Linked DNA regions of Kluyveromyces lactis. The main gene of each other region encodes a partner of the protein of the gene in region 4 in a complex. Links are inferred from orthologs where the notes say so. Each region holds a gene or a part of one and is shown on either strand. Other genes may lie near its edges. The genes, in order: UME6, RXT3, DEP1, PHO23, SAP30, RPD3 and KLLA0_E19933g.

What was found.
Region 1: PHO23 (region 4) and UME6 share a complex: the UniProt entries of both Saccharomyces cerevisiae proteins name them as parts of the RPD3C(L) complex. The link is inferred for Kluyveromyces lactis from reciprocal best matches to the Saccharomyces cerevisiae genes PHO23 and UME6.
Region 2: PHO23 (region 4) and RXT3 share a complex: the UniProt entries of both Saccharomyces cerevisiae proteins name them as parts of the RPD3C(L) complex. The link is inferred for Kluyveromyces lactis from reciprocal best matches to the Saccharomyces cerevisiae genes PHO23 and RXT3.
Region 3: PHO23 (region 4) and DEP1 share a complex: the UniProt entries of both Saccharomyces cerevisiae proteins name them as parts of the RPD3C(L) complex. The link is inferred for Kluyveromyces lactis from reciprocal best matches to the Saccharomyces cerevisiae genes PHO23 and DEP1.
Region 5: PHO23 (region 4) and SAP30 share a complex: the UniProt entries of both Saccharomyces cerevisiae proteins name them as parts of the RPD3C(L) complex. The link is inferred for Kluyveromyces lactis from reciprocal best matches to the Saccharomyces cerevisiae genes PHO23 and SAP30.
Region 6: PHO23 (region 4) and RPD3 share a complex: the UniProt entries of both Saccharomyces cerevisiae proteins name them as parts of the RPD3C(L) complex. The link is inferred for Kluyveromyces lactis from reciprocal best matches to the Saccharomyces cerevisiae genes PHO23 and RPD3.
Region 7: PHO23 (region 4) and KLLA0_E19933g share a complex: the UniProt entries of both Saccharomyces cerevisiae proteins name them as parts of the RPD3C(L) complex. The link is inferred for Kluyveromyces lactis from reciprocal best matches to the Saccharomyces cerevisiae genes PHO23 and DOT6.

The regions. Positions count from the first base shown.
Region 1 is NC_006042.1:1,922,711-1,926,988, reverse strand, and holds UME6 (DNA-binding transcriptional regulator UME6), read right to left. Parts: upstream 2,842-4,278; coding exon 478-2,841; downstream 1-477. Other genes in the region: KLLA0_F20658g (uncharacterized protein), read right to left, coding at 3,890-4,278. UniProt on the Saccharomyces cerevisiae protein: Component of the RPD3C(L) histone deacetylase complex (HDAC) responsible for the deacetylation of lysine residues on the N-terminal part of the core histones (H2A, H2B, H3 and H4).
Region 2 is NC_006038.1:261,933-264,840, reverse strand, and holds RXT3 (Rxt3p), read left to right. Parts: upstream 1-1,420; coding exon 1,421-2,386; downstream 2,387-2,908. Other genes in the region: RPL31B (60S ribosomal protein eL31), read right to left, coding at 508-564. UniProt on the Saccharomyces cerevisiae protein: Component of the RPD3C(L) histone deacetylase complex (HDAC) responsible for the deacetylation of lysine residues on the N-terminal part of the core histones (H2A, H2B, H3 and H4).
Region 3 is NC_006042.1:735,758-739,376, forward strand, and holds DEP1 (Rpd3L histone deacetylase complex subunit DEP1), read left to right. Parts: upstream 1-1,296; coding exon 1,297-3,117; downstream 3,118-3,619. Other genes in the region: rRNA-processing protein NOP12, read right to left, coding at 1-520. UniProt on the Saccharomyces cerevisiae protein: Component of the RPD3C(L) histone deacetylase complex (HDAC) responsible for the deacetylation of lysine residues on the N-terminal part of the core histones (H2A, H2B, H3 and H4).
Region 4 is NC_006039.1:1,143,151-1,146,112, reverse strand, and holds PHO23 (Pho23p), read left to right. Parts: upstream 1-1,277; coding exon 1,278-2,453; downstream 2,454-2,962. Other genes in the region: CRC1 (carnitine:acyl carnitine antiporter), read right to left, coding at 1-194; Ras family GTPase RAS1, read left to right, coding at 2,937-2,951. UniProt on the Saccharomyces cerevisiae protein: Component of the RPD3C(L) histone deacetylase complex (HDAC) responsible for the deacetylation of lysine residues on the N-terminal part of the core histones (H2A, H2B, H3 and H4).
Region 5 is NC_006041.1:986,117-988,649, reverse strand, and holds SAP30 (Sap30p), read left to right. Parts: upstream 1-1,526; coding exon 1,527-2,027; downstream 2,028-2,533. Other genes in the region: KLLA0_E11243g (putative endodeoxyribonuclease), read left to right, coding at 325-1,299; CUE1 (Cue1p), read left to right, coding at 2,472-2,533. UniProt on the Saccharomyces cerevisiae protein: Component of the RPD3C(L) histone deacetylase complex (HDAC) responsible for the deacetylation of lysine residues on the N-terminal part of the core histones (H2A, H2B, H3 and H4).
Region 6 is NC_006041.1:185,591-188,854, reverse strand, and holds RPD3 (histone deacetylase RPD3), read left to right. Parts: upstream 1-1,379; coding exon 1,380-2,678; downstream 2,679-3,264. Other genes in the region: PEX6 (AAA family ATPase peroxin 6), read left to right, coding at 1-1,041; lumazine synthase RIB4, read left to right, coding at 3,164-3,264. UniProt on the Saccharomyces cerevisiae protein: Catalytic component of the RPD3 histone deacetylase (HDAC) complexes RPD3C(L) and RPD3C(S) responsible for the deacetylation of lysine residues on the N-terminal part of the core histones (H2A, H2B, H3 and H4).
Region 7 is NC_006041.1:1,774,018-1,777,723, reverse strand, and holds KLLA0_E19933g (SANT/Myb-like DNA-binding domain-containing protein), read left to right. Parts: upstream 1-1,438; coding exon 1,439-3,190; downstream 3,191-3,706. Other genes in the region: KLLA0_E19955g (3'-5'-exodeoxyribonuclease), read right to left, coding at 1-507. UniProt on the Saccharomyces cerevisiae protein: Component of the RPD3 histone deacetylase complex RPD3C(L) responsible for the deacetylation of lysine residues on the N-terminal part of the core histones (H2A, H2B, H3 and H4).

The DNA.
Region 1 (4,278 bases), on a different chromosome or scaffold from region 4:
ATTTTTAACGCCTTGTTTTTCTCTATTCCTTAGTTACTGAAACGACACTTTTTTAAATTTTATCTTAATTATTCCAAATTTTGGTTGTAATGTATGTGTCTATATTTTGTATGTTCTTTTATTTTATCTTATTTTATTTTGTTGATCCTCATATCATCTCAATCCTCCTTTGAAAGCAGCATAAAGTTTAAATATTGAACTACGTTGTCTTTTGAAATCATTTCCATACTATTCCCTAAGCTTTGTGCTTAAAATACGTACAATTCATACATTGTATATTAAAGTCAGTCTACACATTTATTACAGCAAATATATCTGAGTATATTATATATTGGGAGGTGAACATAATCATAAAAGTTCAGTCAAAAATGGTATCTATAGAGTTTTGAGGGGTTGTCCATTATTGTAAAAAAACTGAGAACACCTGATGATACAGATGTGTGTCTGAGAAGAATTTAGAGATGATTGTCTCTTTGATTATAACCAAGTCTTCTTTTTCATTGCTTGTCTCTTAGCTTCTTTTGTTTTCTTTTTAATTTCTTCGAGTTTTGCTGCCTTTTTAGCAGGATCTGAAATAAAATCGGGTTTTACTATGTCGTAAAAGCATTCGAGGTGCAACCTCACGCAGTTCTGGCATTGCGGTTTCTCTTCTGTACATTTCTTCTTACGCAATCTACAGATCCAGCAGCCAGTTCTTGACCGTGCCCCCGTAGCATTTCTTTTCTTTATTTGATCACTTGATTTGACCATTTGCTCGTTAGAAACATCATTATTGTAATTAGATTCTTTAAACTTCAGTTGTTTGGCATGTTTGGAATTCGGTGACAATAATCCAGTGTGTTCAGTAGATAATGATGAAGACCTTGATCTTTTTATATGCATACCATTTTCCGAGATATCCGCAGCGGGGTATGCCGTAGTATCTGGATGGTCTCCAATCTCATTTTTAATTCCTGTCAATTGAGATTGATAATGTGGTGGGCCTGATCTTCTTCTGGACAATCTTCTTTTTCCATTCTTATTCCATGCAACAGTTTCTGGTGCCTTTGATCCCCCTTCGGTCATTTCGTAATCACCATCGCCATACCCGTCATCATCATCATCCTCTTCTTCCATTATAACGAGTTCATCCTGGTTGCCAGTCAATGGTCGTTGGTTAACCCGAAGCACTGGCTTAGGTAAAAGTCTTTTGGAGAACGGATTAAAGGCATTATTTTGGAGAGATTGGTTTGATAATGACGAATTCGGTCGGCTATCATGATTGCCAGAGCCGAACTGTTCGTTAAATGGGGGTAATGGGGAAGACCTCATCTGAGAAATGATTGCGGCAGCTTCCGCATCCACGTTGGAATCTTGATCATTCAAAGTTGGGTTGACCATTGTGCTATTATATGGATACTTGTTAGCCGACTCTACTTTCGGAAAAGCGTTTGAGGATCCTAATAACACTCTATTCCTTAACTCATCGAATTTTGTGTTGAAATACTTCGGTTGGTAGGTAATATGTGTATTATTGTTATTACTGTTTGCTGTGCTACCGTTATTACTGCCACTACTATTACTGCCACTACTAGAATTACTGAAAGGACCATGAACCTGATCGGTTTCGAACATATAGGTTGGAGAAACAATTCTATTCATGGTAGATGAGACCTGCGGGTTTTGATTTTGATATTTTGGATGTAGGAAGGATCCTGTGGAGTGAGGAGGATTTGACGCTGCTGAGGATGGGAAATGAATAGTGTATTCATTTCCTGCCGTAGATGGAGGGGGCGAGATTGATTCTGCTGTCGATCTCGAGTTTAGTAATGAAGTAATATTGATCTTTTGAGCTGAAATTGATGAGATGCCTGCACCCGGATCTATTTTCTCTGTGGAACAATCAAAATGTAGTCTTTTTGGAGTCATGGCGCTTCCTGTGGCATGCAGATCTCTATCACGGGAAGCGCTCGAGGTCTCAAGGATCGGCGAAGATGAAGGCGCAGCAATACCGCTCGCACCGTCATGTGAAACAGTTCCAGGATTACCAATGTTTCTGCCATTGCCCTTTTTGCCTTCGAGTCTATGTCCGCTTTGTCGCAGCATGCGTTCATTTTGATGACTACCAGTATCAGCTTGAATTTCCTCGCCCTTTCTTGAATCGTGAAGTGTTTCTGTTTCACTCACTTGACCAGAGTCTATCCTATCGTTGAACAAATACACGGGAGTGCGCGAGTCTTGATATAAGGTGCTACTCCCTTTCCCAGTGTTCGGCAGCGTATTGCTACTGGATATACAGATAGATGGTGTACGCGTATTTATTTTTGGAACATGTTGTTTATCAGCCGAAACCACGTGATCAAAGTCTTGGGTACCCGTTTTTTTCTCAAATTTCACGGCAACCTCCTTTTCCTCTTGCTTAGTCTCTCCGTAACGAGGAAGTGGCGGCAAAACCTCGGTTTGAGGCTTTGTCCCTGGAATCCCGGAAGGCTCTCCACGTGAAGGAGAGATAACACCCTGTTGTAGATCGTTTTCCTCCACAGGCGTATTATTCGGAGCAGCAGTAGGAGACATCGCTAAATGTATCAAGGGGTTGAGCCTTGGTGTATGTCGCAGCAGCGTTTGTTTTTCACCTGTTTTCACTCGTTGTTGTTTTTCGTTTTCTTGTTTTTCATCAATTTTGGTCACTTCCCGCTGGGCGGTTAGCTCCACTTGGGCGGCGTTTGTTTTTGAATGTTCGTCAGGGTAACTTGGCGGGGTACTTTTCTCCGGCACATGCATTTTGGAAGATAACGGAGAAGAGGAGGATAAACGAACAGAGTTCACAGCACGCCGCTCAATTTGACTTTTCTGACGAACCATCTATTCCGAAGGTTCTTTTATATTTGAAGAAAACTTCAGTCTAAGTTTCAGGCCAGCGCTTAGCGCCAAGAGTTTGTGTTACTCTTGAGTTAAAAAAAAACCGATTCTCTCCTCACCCCCTTATAAGACTCTTGAAACTAAACACAATCAGGTATTAAGCCAGGAGCTACGGAATGAGCGGGTTCGTAATTAGTAAGAGAGATTGAACCAGAAGCCTGTCAATTCATAGAGGATCGCGGTTTCAATGAATGTAAGCATTCATAAAGAATAAAAAAATAAAGTAGAGTATATTACAATAAACTAAAACAAGTAAGAGAAATCAAACATTTGTAAAATTCGATTTATATAAATAAATAAACAACGCCTTGGATGTGATTTTCGAACGAGATTCAATTAGGCGTTTTTTTGCCTTTTTTTGAGCGAAAAACTACAGGAAAACAAGCGCAGAAAACGAATCAGAAGGGAGAAAAGGGAAGAAAAAAGGGAACGGCAATGGTACTAGCCATCTAAGCAAGCTCATTGACCTTGCTTTGCTTCTCGGTTTTTTGTTTTTAGTAGGATATCTGAAGTTTGTAAGGTGCACTGCTGTTATACAGTAGCTGATTACATATGTAGCCCGCTAAGATGGTGGGTTTCTTTAATTACCCGTGGGAATAATTTTTGACTGTTTTTGACTTTTCTTATCCATTGGGCGTATCGCTTGACGAAAATTGTCTTGAAACTATTTTACACGCTGGAAAGGGAGAAAAAGATTTGAAAAGAGTAAAGACCATGTATTACCCGGTCATAATCAGTTGTTCCGGCTTAGTAACTTTTGGGCCCAAAGTCTTAATCGATTCAGGCCAAATATAAAGAGTTTTGACGGGAAACTAGAGTAAAATCGATCTAAAGTGAGATAAACTACTTTTGTTAATGTAGTATGGTATTTATAAAAATTAAATTATTGATGATACTTATCATATGGATTTGCTAATATACATTTGTTCCAGATAAGTTGTAGATTAAAAATAATTAAAAAGCACCGCTTATTCCTGCATCTTTTCAACTTTCAGATAGTCTTCTCGTCGTTGTGAAAAGTATTCATTCTGGAGAAGGAAGTAGTGTATTGTTCGAACGGATCGTGCACTGCTCTCTTTTCTAAATCATTTTCTGGATTGTCGACTCTGTCCTTGATGCCGAAGTAATGTCTCTTACCATATTTGTATAATTCAACGCCTGCCCAGAATGCGAAACTAAATCCGATTGCGAATCCCCATTCGTAACTGATATTGTAATGTAAGAACACTTTGTCGTTGATTACTGGGATATAAACCACTGGGAACACGGAACAGAACCCACCAACAATGGACCAAAACAAGAATTGATTGCTCCAGATGTCCTTGAACACTTGAGTGTATGGTGTTTCACTTTCAGGGTTCATCATGAAGAATGATCTTC
Region 2 (2,908 bases), on a different chromosome or scaffold from region 4:
TTCGAATTACCAAATGGTGGGAGCAATTGGAAAATACCTGTTCAAGATACTGTACTGTTAAGATGTTGGAAAAAAAAAGGAACATTGATCATAAGTAAAATACAGTGCGTATTCACCGATAATGTCGTCTCTTAATCGCCTGTTTCACTCGGATAAAAATCAATCATCAATATTCAAATTATTTCACATTGATAAACAAATAACCCATCTTTTCAACATTATATTCCAGAAACAAACTTAGCGTTTTCACAAGGACGTATAGCATGGTGTATATTTTCTCCACATTCTAATGATATCAAAATAAACTAAATAGACTTCATCTCCGGTCTTTAATATCCACATATTCTCCCAAAGTATCTCCATTGTGTGCAAACTTACATGCAATGTTGCATTCAAATACAGTATATGATCTTTAAACTCCCCTTCTCATTGCTCTTATCCACTTTGGTATCTATTGTGTAATTTCACTTCGAAATTTTGTTTCATCATTGGTAAAAGCTAACATACTCTTTTGTGCATGTTGATGGTGTATTCACGAGTAACGACGTCTTTCAAACCGGCCATTTTGTATTCGATAGTTCCTCAGTGTACTGCTTCGTTCTTCTCTATTAAGAACCAACACACAAATCAAATAAACAGTATCGTAAACGCCTATTAACATTCAGAAACCTCTAATTTCACCACTTACAATATAGCTTATTTCTCAGTATCCAAATAATATTTCATCGAAAATCAACACTTTCTCTCTGGTACTGGAGGGAATAGACTAGGCACTAGGCTGGAGCAAGGCAGCCAGTGGTGGGTGAAACGCCTAGTATGTCCAAACCTGGCTGGGTGGCTGCCCAGGCTGGTTCCAGTAGACGGAGGAATGCCTGCACTCTGGACAAGGAATGGTTGCCGGCTGGGGTGTAGAGCTAGAAAGGTGAATTGGCATCCTAGGCAGAGTGGGTAAACCTGTCATCGGAGGCCGCCGGGCGTTGTCAAGCGAGGTTCCTCAGGCCTGTATCATTGCTTCCCACACACAACATGTCCTAGAAATGTTTGTGTCATTCGAAGTGCGAAATGCGGAATGAAAGTTTCCTATTATAGAAAATGAAAACATAAAACTATTTTACATCAGAGTGCACGGATGTTACAGTGGAACAAATGAAGCCTCACGAATGTACGGATGTTATAACAGTCCCGTATATAGACTATTATGGTCAAACTGGTGATGAATGTTGTTAATGAAAGAATCTCCATCTGTACATCGAATACACAGTGAATTCATAATATAAATCGAGAGAAATTTACTCCTGAGCAGGGTCGATTGATACATTATTACAAGCTGAGAACTTCGCAGTGGCTCAATTGATTAGTTGCCGATTGTATAGCTGGTAAAACTTTGATTTATTCAACAGCTTTCAGCCACTGTTTGAATATGAGTGATGAGTTGTACAGAAAAACCCAAAACAGGATATACAGCATGCAAGAGACACTGCTGAATAGTTCTAGGGAGTCCAAACAGGCCCGAGATCAGGATACGGGTAAAATCGGATCATCATCATCAGAAGAAGCAGTTGCTGCACCGGCTAATACACAGAATGTTGCAGATGAAAGTTCCCAAACAGGGGAACCTGAAAACAACACTACCCTTGAAACTGCAGCTCCAGACAGCAAACCTGAAGATGACGAAGACGAAATAGACGTAAACTCTAAATCTGTCCTTGAATATACAGAGAAGAATTACGCACTACAGCGGCGCCCTTTGGCCACCTTGGAGTACGACTCCATGAGAGTTGGTGTTTTTCCTGGGGATCCGAAATTGGAAGCCCTTCCATTCCCTTATAATTTCAAGACCATCAGATCTCCGAGACCTTTTATTCCAAGGATGTCTCATAACCATATCAACTCAATCCTTACAATACAGATCGATTCCATATATTTACAACAAGTGGCCCGTAGTGAGAACATACGGTACCAAAACCGAGAGATATGGGGCACAGATATATATACCGACGATTCGGATATTATATTAGTACTTCAACACTGTGGAGTTTTGCCATTTTCTGAACCATTGGATCAAAACAGCAATGGCAAGCCATCCAATGTTCACTCTTTGAAAACTAAATTGAGAAGAACTCCTACAAATATGTCGGACCAAAATAGTGTGACAGGAGCAATCCCAGAACGTGAAATTCCATTTGCGATCAAAGTGGACATCCTAATGTTACCACCTCTTCAAGGTTATGCGTCATCCACGAGAAATAATATCACATCCAGAGAATGGACAGGGCAAGTCCATGACGGTTTGTCGTTCGGAATTTTCCATGTTGATATTGTGGTGATGGACAACACATTAAATGAGATACAACAATCTGACAAGACTAAGTCACTAAAGTGGTAACGCTGCATCAAGAAAAAGGCCAGCAGCCGGTATCTTCCGTCCCCCAATATATTTTCTTTCGTCATGTGTCTCGTACAAGTGACGAGAAAGTTGACTTAAATCGGTTATGTGCAAGCCGTGCGTACTGCATCGATGCGTGCCGAAAAGAATATGTACATTTGTATATGTAAAAGCGTTGTGTATAGATTACTCAACAATGTAATATCATAATAATAACTACCATTATCTCCACTGCCATGCAAACCTTCTAAACATAGAGGTCTGATATATATGCTATTTTATACGTCCCTGCAACCTTCTTTTAAATTGGTTGAAGGTTCCTTCTATTCTTTTAGTGACATTCAATAAGATTAATAATTGGGAAAAAGATTTGAAAAGACCGACCATAAGAGAAGTGTTCGAGACGTTAACGGCTACAAAGTGACCCATAAGACCCTGAATCTTGTTTCTTGGTATACTTAAAGATTAGGTTAGAGTAAGGGTCTCACTGATTCTAACTTCTGGGTGACTTTTTACCCCTGG
Region 3 (3,619 bases), on a different chromosome or scaffold from region 4:
CATTTGGTACATTCCCAATAAAAATTGTTCTCTCAGCCTTGGCTAGTTCCTTTTCTTTCAAATTGATAACTTTAGCAGATTCAGATTCCGTGCCGGTAATCGAAGACTTATCGACTGCAGTTGCTTCATCTTCATTATCACTATCGGAAGAGTCGTCCTTAGGTTCATCCTTAGGTTCATCTTTAGATTTAGAATCACCTAATACCTTAGAATAATATTGAACTTCCAAATTATCATTCTCTTCATCATTCTTCTTGGTCTTCTTCTTTTTCTTCTTCGGCTGTTCTTCCTGTTCTTCCTGTTCTTTCTCTACTCCTTCGGAGACAGTAGAAGCACTTTCCTGGACATTCTCTTCTTCTTGTTCATCCTTATCCTGTTCAGGCTCAGTTAGCACAGTCCTAGCTTTCGACTTTACTTTACGCTCATCGACATGATTAGGTTTGGAGAATAACGCTGCAATCGATGATGTACCTGCCGCGTCTGATTTGGAATTTCCAAATAAATTGTTCAATGCGGACATCCCGTAATATAATTTTGGTTTGTTATGTTTGAAAGACCCTGGTTCACCAACACAAACGTTATTCCTCTGCACTAAACCTGCTGGTGGCTGTCCAAGTCTCTTCGATGCGATGAGCTTTATCCATTTGTCTGTTGAATTATCGAAAGTGAAAAACCTGCACTTCCTAGAAAAGCCAGCAGAAATCATGAATTTACCACCAAAAAGAAATGCGGAAGAAAAGCGTACGCTCTATGGACAAATCGAATGTATCGTAGTCACGTGATTAACACCGTGGAATGTACTATATGGCCGGGTAACATCATGTTCCTTTTCCTTAAAAAACGTACAAACTGTAAATAGTGCTGAAATGCCGAAATATAAGTTAAGAATAAAAATACAGTCTGATTTTAGCATGAACATATAGTTATGGCCAGTCAGCAATCAATACATAGATCTCATCCAAACGTGATTTAAAATATTGTGTACTACTAAGAATAGAGAGAGATAACTGTTTTGCTAGTAAAAATAAGAATTACGCGAAGTAAGGTATATTTGCAGCCCTTTGTTTTAGTGTGTCAGGTATCAACTTTCAATCTATTCAAGCAGCAATTCTTAACTTATACTGCGCATATTAAACGGTTTGCTGGTTAAATTTTGTGTGTTTCTGCATTGGAGTATAAGCTAAGTGTTTTTTCTTTGCCATCAGCCGATTGGAGTAATACAAAGGTTGTATTGGTTATATGCGTTGGGATTTCTTTCTTTTTGAATTCAAACGGTACTATCTTTGAATCATTCAAATGGAGCCAGAGAGAAACAAAAATAACAGTGTAGAGGCTGCGAGTGAGATTGACGATCATAATACCAGATCTGCCCCCACTACGAAACTTACCAAAGAAGTTTTAGAGAAGATTGCTTCGGATTCTGATTCTGTTAATTTTAACGCAAATAGTTATTCAAGGAAATCGAAATCAGGGAGTCCCTCAAAGGTTGGTACATTAGAATACGACGATAACAGTACCAGTGGATTATCTAAGGTCACTTCTCCAGAACATCCAAACTCAGTCTCTCTATCGGACATATACATCTCATCAGACGCTGAGACCGAAAAGATGGATTTAGAAGAGGACGAATCACGTGTCAAACTATCGGAAATGGCATCCAATTCGATTGAAAGTAACGGTAATGACAAAAGTAAACAAAATGATGATAATCTTTCGAAGACTGTAAAACAAGAGTACATCAATAATGGTGTCGGTAGTTATATTCAAGAATCTGCCCCTAAACTTGCTACTCCTTCAAAAGATGAGGGACCAATCGTTCAGCAAGATAAACCAGCCGAAACAGAACCTGAACCAGTACCGTATGAAGATGACGCTGTTGCTGATACAGATCATACAACAGAGCCAAATAAACTTGCACTAAGCCAAAACCAGGACGAAGTATCTGTACCTGCCGAAGGAGGCAGTCAAGAAGAAACAATTGCAAACGATGAACAAGAACAGCATGCTCCGGTAGTAGAGGAGCAGGCGAATGATAACGAGATCAAATCGCAAGAAGAATCAGAAGTGTCTTTAAAGCATAACCGTGAAGAAGAGCAACAGTCCCTAGAGAACGGCTCGGAGCATGTCAAGTCTGAACAGGTGTTCAAGAAACCGAAATTACCTACTGAGTCAAAATCAGGTCACTATGAAGACGAGCATGAAACGCATGAAAACGGAGATCATGATGTTGATATCGACGCGGATGCAGAAGCTGAGGATGATGGTACTCTAGAAAGTGAGGTTGAGGACAATAATGAGGATGAAGAGGAAGAATTAGAACCCGAAATGGACGCAGTAGAAGAAGATAATGATGAGAAACAACAGACAGATACACCTGGCGTCGATTCTACCGATAATGGACTATCGCCCATGGAGAAGGAAAGGATAAGACAAGACGCTTTGGCAGAACTAACAAATATTGAAGTCGAATTTGCTCAATTGCGACAGAGTCTATATGAAAACAAGCTGAGCAAATTACAGAATGAGCTACAGATGTGTCTAGATGGATCACATCCTCAACTACAGACTTATTATCAGAAGATTGCTTCGATACGGGACTTTAAGCTAAAGAGAATGTACCAAAGGCAAAAGTATGAGCTGGAGTGCATAGATACCGAAACTAGGGCGACAAGAACGTTTATTCATCAAGATTTCTACAGAAAGGTCTCAGATTTGAAACATAAGTTATTAGGAAACACAACCCAGAAGTGGTATGACATCAATAAAGAGAGACGTGAAATGGACGTTGTTGTACCTGAAGTAAATTATCACGTTCCAATAAAAATTTCAAATAAATCTTTGAGTTGTATAACCGGATACGCAGCTCCTGCCAATCTGAGACGTCCAGGCGACTTGTTATCAGAAGATTTATTATGTGAAAATATCAATTTCAGATATCATAACAACCCTGTCGATAAGTTAGAAGTCATTGTAGACAGAATGAGGTTTAATAATGAATTGAGCGACTTAGATGGTATAAGGAAATTCTATGGAGGATTCCCAGGTGCTCCTGAACTTGGTGGTTTAAAAGATTCTGAAATTCATGAGGATCTTGCAGGAATACAGCATCAACAATAGGTCATATAATTTTTCACTAGGTGCTCCAAAAACCAGAAAACACGCTCTTATCAATAGTCAATAAAATGTCATCTTGATGAATCATCATTTAATTATCGTTTTGTTATGATGTGTAATCTTTACAAGTATAATATATGCATGACTGTGTATATGTATAGCACTTTTAACATTTCCACGATATGAAAGTGTATTCGAATTGACATCTGTGAATTCGAGAAACCTTGATATTTTAAAATATACAAAGATGTATGTTATATATGGAATAGAAGATATACTTCCTACTAATTAAACATTTGTTGGACGTTGGTAGAGATAAAAGCGTAAATAATAAAAAGATGAGAAAGAAACCCCAAAAATAGTAGTCCTTGTGAAGTGAGGAAAGGTTGTGATGAATTGGTCAGATTCCAATGTGAAGCGAAATATCTTTATTTTATTAAGACACCAGGATAGAAATAAAACTTATAATAAACCGTATCCAACCCGATGATATTTTTCTATAAGA
Region 4 (2,962 bases):
ATGGCACTACGTGCTTGGTTTGATTGACATCTGACTTTCACCAAATCAAAAGGATGTCCGGTCAACACTGCACAAACACCTCCAACACCGCCTGCAGCTAATGACTTCAAATTTTCTGTTAATTGTGACTTTGTTTGGGAAACATCATTAACATGCGATGTTTCCAATTCAATTTCAATGGAGGCGTCACTCATTTTTCCCTTTTCAATAGTGTTCGTCGAAGTGATACTGTATATATATACGTTAGCTTTGGTGCACTTTGATCAGACCAATTTCATATACCTCGGTACTGAATGTTCTTCTTATCTAAGTGTATGCTTCAGGTTTGCACCGAAAGGCTGTGATTTATATATCTACGAAAAAAAAAAAAAACGTTTCTCTTCCTCATGAAAGTAATTAGCCATGATATTGCTGATCATTAACATCATATCATCATCATAATCATCAAACATTCAGGATTTTCTTTTGGTCCAGGATTGTGACTTTCTTGGTGAATCATTATAGTCATCACCAAAAAAATTCTCAAGTTAACGGACTTTGTAGAGATAATCTAGGATTGATACAAGGAATCAGTACAACATTTTGTGTGACTGGCCGTTAGAAATAGAATCAGCCCTGAATGCATGACAACAAATGAAAGAACAGATACTCTACAATTTAAGTACAAGGTCATGTGCTGGAACATCTCCAAATTCGCACGGGATCCCTGCGGCTGTTTCCCTGCGTGATCCATTCATTATTTCTGATACATATTCCCTTTTTACCTTATTTTACCCGATGCCGACAGGATTTAGTGTCAGCAAAATTCTAATCGCCTTTTTTTTTTCTATTTAGAGCGGGGGAAATGAAGTGACAAATGTGACACAGGTGGAAGGAGACAACAGTGAAAACAAAAAACATAAACAAAAGATTGCGGACAGGGTTTCACGGATGATCGTAATCAAACAAACCCCGAGCTTTCCATTGTATAACCTACTTAGAATCCAAAACGATTATTTAATACCAATCACGTGATAATAATTTTCACGTGATCTATTTTTCTTTTCTTCAGGTTCTCGCTTAGTCTTATTAAAAGCTTTGAATATCAAATTTATACCTTTTCTTTTAGGTCAGGTAACTAGAATTGTTTAGCATACCGGATAAGTGCACGCAATACAATTACATGTTGTATGTAGTGTATTGACATTTGTGTGATTCAAAAGATCTCTCAATCCAGTAGGAATCACAAGCTGTACTACATATCACGATAGCGAGACATAGACAATACAACTCAAGATATGGCAGCACCTGCAAATTTATACCCTGGTCTTAATGATATTAGTGATGTATTGGAAGAGGTGCCATTAGACGTTTCACGGTACATGACTCTACTCTATGAAATTGATGCTAAATGCGTTAATATAATTCCTGAACTAAATAAATGCATTAAAGGATTCCTTGGTGGGAGAAACGTTCCTGATGAGTCCAAGGTTCCTCTACGTGTGATAAACCAATGGTTTCAAGAGCTGATCCCGTCATTGGAAGAGAAGATGCATGTTTCATCTATAGCCTACGATTCTTTAGAAAGGTTAACGGACAGGTTGGAATTAGCCTACGAGGTTGCTATTTCCAATCAAGAGATTCCAGAGAAGTTAAGACTAGGTAACGATAACCATCCAGCGATGCATTTGCATCGTGAGCTTATGGCTAAGGTCGAATCAAATGTAATGACGAAGTCTCAACAAGCACTGAAAAGTGAATCCCGTAGAGAAGCCATGGCTGCAAAGAAGACAACTGGGGGAACTGCTGTTCAAGGTGGGAACGCTGCTGGAACGGCAAATTCAGGTTCTGTCGGATCCACAGCTGGTTCTACTTCAACTTCTGGAACCGGTGCCTCCACAGCAGTCGCAGGATCAGAACCAGTAGTTGCGGCGGTAGGATCACATGGAAATGCTCCAAACCAAGGAGCAAACACTCAAACAAATGGTCACAACCGCTCTTCCACTATGGCAGGTCATAAGAACGGAAATGCGCATAACCACAACCATAATGACAATAGCCATTCTCATGCAGATGATATACAACCAGCGAACACTAAGAAAAGGAGAAATAACAACGGGACAACTACTGTCTCAACATCTAGTTCAAACAATAACAACTCTTCTGCAAATAGTACTGCCGCACAAAGAAGGAACAAAAAAAGAGTAAACACCACGGCTGCTAACAATGGCGTTACCGGGAGTAACACGACAGCTGTAAATGCAGTCAACGCATCAAATAAGTATCAAAACAGACCAAAGATCAACGAATATGGAGAAGCACTGTATTGTTACTGTAATCAGGTCGCATACGGAGAAATGGTTGGATGTGATGGCGAAAACTGTCAATTAGAATGGTTCCATCTTCCCTGCATTGGCTTGGAAACGCTACCTAAAGGGAAATGGTACTGCGATGACTGTTTGAAAAAGAATTAGCTAGCTGCACCAACATAATATTTACCACCGGAAATAAATATAATATATATCACTGTCTCGTCACTCAGTTCATGATGCATAAATGCAAAAGGAAAAAAACCCTTGAGATATTCAACCTCGATCTCAGCAACTACTGAGAATATAATTGATCTGGTCAAGCATCATTTTTTTGGGAAATTCTATTTCCATTTCCATTTCTTGTCGAAAGAAATAATAATAAGCAAGCAGCAGCATCGTATTGATGAGAAAAAAAGGGTTCCTTCAATTCATGTAATCTGTCTCTTTTCGCATACTTACCGAATTTGAAATAAAAATTTAGAAAAATAAAAAAAATTTTTGTTGTACCTTATAATAATAAGCTTTGTTAAATTCTACTTATGTACGTTGACAACACCTATGCACAATCATTGCTCATATCATAGGGAAAAGAGGGACCTCGTTGTAGATTAAAATAGTGAGGGATTTACATTTGTACACTGCGAAATGTCGTTAAATAAAGTATGTTATTG
Region 5 (2,533 bases), on a different chromosome or scaffold from region 4:
ATACAAATATAGACAGGACATAAGTTGGTCTGCTTTTTAAGGTTCAGTCTTTGCGAAATCCGATGTTGAAAACATGTTTAAAGGCAAATCTGGGAATTTTTTTTGGGGGCAGCCCGAAAACGGGGTTGTGGGAGCCCCCAAAACAATAGTTTTTCCGGCAACTCAATTTCCATGATTTTCCGATAGAAAGAGTCCCAGGTGATTCAAAAAGTATACCTTTGGAACATATTGGTGAATTGGGACAATTAAGGCAATTGCTATGGAATTAGGGTTCCAGTCTGCTATCAGGTGAGTGGTAATTGGGCTTGGTTTTGTGGGGCAAGAATGGTTCCATGTCTTGTCGATGCACATTGCCATGTGTCTACTATGGTGGATGCTGTAGGATGCGATAAGATCAGAAGCAATTTGGACCTGGCCCTTGCCGGAACGGCAAGTGATGTCCAACGGTGTGTCATGAGCACGAATGTGTACGACTGGGAATTACTGGAGCCCCTGCTGCTAATGAAACAACTGGATGATGAAGGTCCCGGAATCAATGTTAGTCTTGGTGTGCATCCCTGGTATTGCCATTTATATCAGTTAGATAGGTCGCTTTCTAAGGTAGGGCATTATAGGAATTGTCTTAAATGTAAAGACGAGGTACAGTTGATGGAATTGGTAGAGCAATTGCCGGATCCAGTAGATTTGTCAAGTTACTTGTCAGATGAGCGGGTTTCTCGTGTGGGTTGTATTGGCGAGATCGGATTGGACAAGGTTTTTCGGTTGCCTCAGAATGGCTTTCTCGTGAGCAATAATGGGACATCGTTGGAAAGAAGTAGTTTAAGCAATGTAAGGGTAGAGTTTGCACATCAGATCCAGGTATTTGAAACGTTATTAAAAGTTGCAAAGGGAAGGGGGTTGCCGGTTTCGATCCATTCTGTGAAATGTCAAGGTACTACTTTTGATATTTGCAAGAGAATATTATTGGATAGCGAGGTGAACATATGTTTGCACTCGTTTACTGGGACATTGGATACGGTGCGGCTATGGCTGGCGAATTTCCCACATGAACGGCTTTTCTTTAGCGTTTCGTGTTGGATCAACTTGAAAGACTGGGATTCTGGTGCTGAGCTGTTGAAGAGTTTGCCCTTGCAGTGTATTTTGACAGAGACAGATTGTTCTGTGGATTCAGTGTCGTCGCAAGAGCAACGACAGATGCTAGATTCCGTTCTTGACGCCATTTCAAGAGCTCACGGCATTTCCAGGACTAAGGCGATGGACACGGTATTACAAAACTTCAATAGATTCTTACGTAAATGAGATGAGACGCAGGGACTGCATGTATGTTCTTTGTTTAATGTAGTCATCCTCTATATCTAATTCCAAGTTATTCCCACTTATCTAAGAAAAAAAAGTGTCTTAAGTACAAAATTTTGATCTTTTTGAACATTTGTCCAGGTGGTAAAGGGCATTACCATGTACTGCTCCATACCATCTCAGGTGTCAAATAGAGTGGGTGCTGTACAGTCACAAGGATCTTACACGACATGGCACCAAGGGGACACAATAACTCAAATTCAGAGTCCGAATCTAAGGGCAAATCATCGAACAATGCAACTTCAGGTGCATCGACCAGGACCAGTGTGAAACAAAGACTCTCGAGTGCTCAACAGCAATACTTGAAGGACTTGAACAAGAAACATATACATAACAATCATCCGAAGAATGAGCCGCTCCCAAATCCGATGGATTTCGAACAATACTCCGATGAATTTTTAAGGCGGTATAAGGATAGGTTCCAATTGAAATCTCCAGATAATCTATCAATACAAGGGTACCTTCTAGGATCAAGGATTGGGAAACATACTTACTCGGCGAAACGAAACCAGAAAAATGTACCAGATGCAAGGGTTACGAAGCAGGAGCTTGCGAAAGGTGTCAGGGAACACTTCGATAACTATACCGTTCGAGAAGCGGAATGCCTTCCTCAGTTTATTTACAAAGTACAAAATCAGAAAAAGAAGTTCAGAATGGAGTTTAAGGGATGAAGCGGTGGTGTTGCATAGCTCACTTCCATCTTGGGCATGTAATTCGACATCAGCCTAATGGCTTCATCTATTTGTAACATATATGAATAATATAGAACGTAATAATCAAGGATATCAACGGAAATCTATTTGGAACTAGCGTTCTATACGCTGATTATATGCACTGCAGTGAAAAGGACAGATTGCACAGCAAGCTGTACACACGTCCTTCTGCTCTTTAACATTTTTTTCCTTTACAGGTCGTTTACACAATTTTTCTCTTTAATAAGAAATGAATGATATTAATTATCATTCACAAGTAAAAACTGTAACAAGACAAGTATTTGCTCCATAACCAGGCATACTGTGTTTTCCTGTCTCCAGAATAATTAATATCACAGCAATATATTGAGAGCAGACAGAAATTATTGTGTTAGATAGAGTATCTGAATTAAAACTTTAATCATGGCGGATCAAAGTTTCACATTATTTATCATTTTGGCTATTGCCGGTTATATTGCTGTGAA
Region 6 (3,264 bases), on a different chromosome or scaffold from region 4:
GCTGTCAAGTACAAATGTTACCAACGTCTAAAGCAGAACGACCTTCTAATTGATATGACCGATATAACTGCAGTCATAAATATTGCAAGAGATAGATTCTCAGACTCTATCGGAGCTCCTAAAATTCCTAACGTGACTTGGGATGATATTGGTGGGATGGATGTGGTCAAAGGAGAAATCATGGATACCATAGATATGCCACTCAAGCACCCTGAACTATTTTCATCTGGTATGAAAAAGAGAAGTGGTATTCTTTTCTATGGACCTCCTGGGACTGGTAAAACCTTGTTAGCGAAGGCAATTGCGTCTAACTTCTCTTTAAATTTTTTCAGTGTTAAAGGGCCTGAACTTCTTAACATGTACATTGGTGAATCCGAGGCAAATGTTAGACGTGTCTTCCAGAAAGCAAGAGATGCTAAGCCATGTGTCATTTTTTTCGATGAACTTGATTCCGTGGCACCAAAGAGAGGAAATCAGGGAGATTCTGGGGGTGTTATGGATCGTATTGTGTCTCAACTTTTGGCAGAACTAGACGGAATGAGTTCAGGAGGAGACGGAGTGTTCGTAATTGGAGCTACGAATAGGCCAGATCTTCTTGATGAAGCATTATTACGTCCCGGTAGGTTTGACAAGATGTTATATTTGGGGATATCAGATACCGATAAAAAACAGGCAAATATCATCAAGGCTTTGACGAGAAAGTTCACACTAGAATCTGGTATCGATATACTAGATATTGCCAAAAAATGTCCGTTCAACTATACAGGTGCAGATTTCTACGCATTGTGTTCTGATGCCCTTTTAAACGCTATGACTAGAGTTGCTGGTGAAGTTGATGAAAAGTGGGAGAAGTATAACATGGAAAATAAAAAGAATATATCATTGAGGTATTGGTTTGATAACGTGGCAAACGAGAATGACTTGAAGGTCGTGGTAAAATTACAAGACTTCGAGCTTGCTCAACAGAATCTAATACCAAGTGTTTCTGAGGATGAATTAAGACATTACTTGAGATTAAAGAGTAGTTTCGAATCTCAATGATCGTTAATAAGTAATCATATCGAATATTATTATAAATCATATATAACAAATATATTAACTCATCCATGCAGGATGATCTGGTCAGTAAAAAGTTGGTCTACTTCTTAATCTTCTTCAACTCGTGTAACATGACAGATCTCTTTAAGGCTTTTCTTCTTTCTTTAGCTGCTTGGAAATTCTATATTGATGGAGACGGTGAAAAATGAAGGTAGTGATTTCTATTAAAACCTTGATTTATGTCGAAAACATACCAAGAAAGCTATATAAACAAGAGGTGAAAAATTTGTACCGGCTCTCCAACTTAGCGAAACTATTAAGATTAATTGTGCGTGGACGGTATGGTATACGAAGCTAAACCTTTTGACCCGATAACGGTGAAGGCTAACGAGAAGAAGCGAGTTGCATACTTTTATGATGCTGATGTGGGAAACTATGCTTATGGTGCAGGACATCCTATGAAACCACATAGAATAAGAATGACACATTCGTTGATTATGAATTACGGTTTGTATAAGAAGATGGAAATTTACAGGGCTAAACCTGCAACGAAACAGGAGATGTGTCAGTTCCATACCGATGAATATATTGATTTCTTGTCTCGAGTCACTCCAGATAATTTAGATATGTTCCAAAAGGAGAGTGTGAAATTCAACGTTGGAGACGATTGTCCTGTGTTTGATGGTTTGTACGAGTACTGTAGTATATCTGGAGGTGGTTCTATGGAGGGTGCAGCCAGATTAAACCGAGGCAAATGTGATGTTGCCATTAACTATGCTGGTGGTTTACATCATGCCAAAAAATCGGAAGCTTCAGGGTTCTGTTACTTGAACGATATAGTGCTAGGTATCATCGAGTTGTTAAGGTACCATCCTCGTGTTCTTTATATTGATATTGATGTGCATCACGGTGATGGTGTAGAAGAAGCTTTTTATACTACGGATCGAGTTATGACATGTTCTTTCCATAAATATGGGGAATTCTTCCCAGGTACTGGTGAATTGAGAGATACTGGTGTCGGGAAAGGTAAATACTATGCTGTGAATGTCCCATTAAGGGACGGTATTGACGATGCCACTTACAAATCGGTATTTGAACCAGTCATAGGTAAAATTATGGAATGGTACCAACCTTCTGCCGTGGTACTCCAATGCGGTGGTGACTCTTTATCCGGCGATCGTTTAGGTTGTTTCAACCTTTCAATGAAGGGTCACGCAAACTGTGTCAACTACATGAAATCGTTCGGTGTTCCTCTCATGATTGTTGGTGGTGGTGGTTATACAATGCGAAACGTGGCTCGTACATGGGCTTTCGAAACGGGTATTCTGAATAATGTGATTTTGGATGAAGAACTTCCTTACAACGATTACTACGAATATTATGGCCCTGATTACAAATTGGATGTCAGACCATCTAATATGTATAACGTCAATACACCGGAGTATTTGGATAAAGTGCTACTTAATATTTTCAGCAATCTAGAGCATACTAAATATGCCCCAAGCGTTCAACTCAATCACGTTCCTCGCGATGCGGAGGACAAAGGTGACGCCGAAGAAGATACTGCAGCTGCGAAGGACACTAGAGGAGGTTCTCAGTATGCAAGAGACATAACCATTGAGAATGCAACCGAATTTTAGCCAGAAAACAAAAACAGATGATCTTTTATTATTTACTGTATTATAATATATTTACACTTAGAAGTACTCTTCCGCATTTGCTACAGGTTTTATCGTCACTCACCTAATCACTGTTATATGTCATTCATCCGACGGTTAATATGATGCTGAATATACAGATTGGTGCCCAAGTTAGAATTGATCTAATGAGGTCAATTTTCTATCGTGTTTTCCCTCCGTCAGTATCGGTATTTGCCATAATTTTCCACGTAATACTATTCCAGTTCAGATATGACTTACATCTGCACTTCGGTTGTCAGTAACAAATCTATATATGAAAAAGATCAAAAAATGAAAATCCAGAAGCGAATGGATATTTAAAAGTTAAGATCAGATAGGTCGATTACACAAGAATAAAGCTTATCCTATTTCATATAGAGATATATATTATCTGATAGTAGATACGTTGTATCTAAACATTCAAATCACAGTTAGTAAATTTTGCAATGGCTGTTAAAGGTTTGGGTCAATTGGATCAAGTTTATGATGGTTCTAACTTGAGAATTGGTATCGTTTACGCTCGTTGGAACAGAACAATTATCGATGC
Region 7 (3,706 bases), on a different chromosome or scaffold from region 4:
AGCTTTGGTAAACTGATGGTTTTCAATTGCAAACGGAAGATCCTCGCTTGAATCTGATTTCCGGTACGATTTTGAGTGTTTGGGCATGAATTCGTTAACCTGACACGGATGCACCCCGATGGTGTACATCATCTTTGGTCCATTTTCAGTTGCAAATTCACTACAAAGCTTAATGGAATGTCTCGATTCTTCCAGTGAAGATCCGGTAATCAGCAGCTTATCCACATTAGTCAATCTACAACGGTTCAATATATTGGATAAATCCGTCTCGTGCTGCTTCTTGCCATGGTATTTCCCTTTGAACATGTGATCAGAGATATTGAACCCAATGTCAAAGTACCTTATCTGTTTCAAACCTGTCATCTTCTGAAGTGCTCTGGACATATACAGTGTAGAAGCTGTTTCACAGTGATATACAATGGCCATAATGAACCGAAAATATGCCAAACAAACAGGAAGTCCTTTTATCGTTCTGAAGTGGGATGAGTTGCATATCCTCTTGCGCATCGTGAGATGGCTTGTACAGAATTTTCGAGTGTTACCCGGATGTAAGGTTAAGCTCCACTCTGTGACTCAAGTCCGCATGGAAACATTCACAGACCGTACATGCCACACGATGTCCAAAAATATCGTGTAATGGGTATCTTCCGAAGCCTATCCAATGGCCTACCAACGCACTTATCACCTCCCGGAGTGCATCCCCCTACCTCCCATAAGCTTATTTTGACACATTCTACACACTACTGCAATAGCTTTCCGAAGGCGTAGACTAACGCACCAGTCCCAAACCAACCGGGGAACCCCATTTGCAAGAAGTACACAGACGAAAAAAACAAAAAAAGACACGTGAACGGTAAGATACAGGACCCTCACTCAGTATACTCACATCACATCTCATCTCTTCTCATCTCACCTGTCACCTCATCTCATCGCTGTCACACTGAAAAAATTCGAAATTTTTTTTTTTTCCAACTCATCGCGACGAAGAAAAAGCCACTAAACTCGACCTCATCGAGTCTTGTCATTTAACTTGACACTCTTTGTTTCCTAGGCAGAAACCTGTCTTTATTGGTTCAGTACTCAGTCTGACCTCAGTGATATCGACTCAGAGCATAACTGTCAATACGTTAGTTTATTGTTAGCCGATTTTGGAAGGAATTTAAGGCGATTTTTTGTTGTTTAAAAAGAAAAATCGTTCATAAACTACTGTCGGTTTTATTTTGGACCGTTCAAAATTTTTATTCCCTCTCGTTGTGTTAATGAGAACAGGTCTTTGAGCTAGAGAATTAGAGCTATTAGAAAGCTGTTACTGTCGTTTTGATTACATTTCGAAAATTTTTGAGCTGAATTTTGGTTTTACTGCTCTAAATAGTGGATTTTGTTTTGGTTGCTGATACTTTACAATTATAACTCACAATATTTTTAAGTGAAAGGGTAGATGACTGCACCAAAAAACGTTTCCAGTAGGACTCCGAGTTCGTGGGAACCTCAGGACGATGTCTTGTTGCGACACTTGAAAGAGGTGAAAAGACTGGGATGGAAGGATATTGCTCAGTATTTTACGAATAGAACTCCTAACGCGTGCCAATTTCGGTGGAGAAGGTTAAAATCTGGCAGTTTAAAGACGGTGAAGTCGCCAGAGGAGGAGGATGAGGAGGAGGATGAGTTGTTAAATGTGACTGTTCCAGTACTTGCTCCAATGGCTGTTTCTGCAGGACCTACGTTGAGCGCGGAATCTTTAAACACTGGGTCCTCTTCGACGGCGAAGAAGAATACGGCAAAGAAGTCTAGTTCTACGGGACCGATGCCCATGCCCATGCCAATTCCGACCTCAAAAGTTACCAATAGTGCCGTTCTTTCGTCACCTCATGGGTTGAATGGTAGTGGGAGTGCTACTAATAATAACAATAGCAACATGGGTGTTTTTTCGTCATCTGCTGCTACAGCTGGATCTAGTGTCCTATCGGTAAACGGACTTGCACATTCCGGATCGTTGTCCAAGTCTCCGTTCTCTACTGCTTCTCCTGCTCCTCATGGGAAATTTATAAAGCCCAGGTCTTCCTCTCATTCACAGGACGCCCCACCAAATATGCCCCATTTCAATGATCAAGAGGAAAATTTTGGTTTTATTCCAAAAGTCTTCATCAAGAGTAGACGTGGTTCCGCGGTCGTTGTGAATAACACTCCACAATCGAACTTGCCAAACCTGGCCAGTACGAAATCAAGGAAAAATTCCTTCTCCTCGCGCTCCAGACGTTCCTCTTTCAACGTAGCATCCGACAGGCATTTCATCCCAATGTCTTCTAACGGATCTTCTAGAAGATCTTCCGTTGTTGTCATGCCTTCATCAACTTTGCCCGCATCTTCCGCGAATCCAAGGAGAGAAAGCTTCACGACGAATCCATCTATGTCTAGAAGGAACTCTGTCTCTCAGTTTAGACGTGAGTCTATGCAAGCAGGTTTCATTGATATGCCCATAAAACAAAGCTCTCAACCCCCTCCTTCATCCGTATGTGCCGTTGGATCATTCAATGGCTTTGCAAAACCTTGGTCTGGCGATGAGGATAAGTTGTTGGTAGAAAAACGTCAAAGGTACCACTTGTCCATTGATGAGCTTTCAATCTTGTTACCTCATAGATCAGAACAAGAGATCCAATGGAGAATGGATTCGTTACATATAACGCCTAGCGATGCAGTTAGTACTGCTAGTCCTTCCGCCAATGTTAATCAATCGAGTTCTTCAGATGAGGTCCACTCTACTTACTCACCAGATACTGCCGTAGAGGAGCATGACGACATTGACGATGTTGATGTTGATGTAGAGATTGTTGGCCGCATGGAAGACTCTATTGCCCCAACTCAGCTAAGAGATGAATCTCCTACGTTTTCTCAAACATCTTCGACTGGTTCTTCCGCTCGTGAGAGATCGCCAGTGTTTTCACCGGACGCTCATTCCTTGAGAGACCATTCTCCAACTATTTCTGATGTGAACAACTCATCTTTTTATGGCAATAGGATGCCTGCCAGCGTACCGAAGCAAATTCTTCAAACACAGGCTAGTAATGAACAAACGCCCCAGTTCACTCCGAATTCATCGCAATCTCCTCAACCACCACAAAACCATCGACTACCGCAAGTGCCAACTCAGCCACTGCCTAGTTTGAATACGATATTCAAGCACATTGTTTGATGATAAACTGTCTGTATTAATACCATTATCAAGAACCAAAAACTTAAAAAACTACTTTACAAACCACTTTCAGACATGTATGAACATGAACCCCGAAGTGTATCGTGGCGCCAGTCGCTGCTACTTCAATCATCATTGTCGTTGATTTACTATCACATAAACGCACACACTTTCCTGATTATGACCCCATTGTACAAGTACTATAACTACAATAGAACATCAATAATACTGTTACAGTGTTATCTTTATGCCAAATCATTTGAACTGTACCATATGGTTATTTTTTGTCATAATAATGTCCCTATTCAGTTTATTATAGCAAAGGGACACGGGCTGCTCCTTTTGCATAAACACTTAAATGAAAAGTGCGTACTATTACGTTGTTTTGTTATTTACATTTTACTGCTATATCAATGATGGCATTAATTTTCGCTATTCTTACAATCATATACATATATACATGCATATATTAGATATTACACTATTATCAGTTTTCTTCTCATAAACACATGTCAT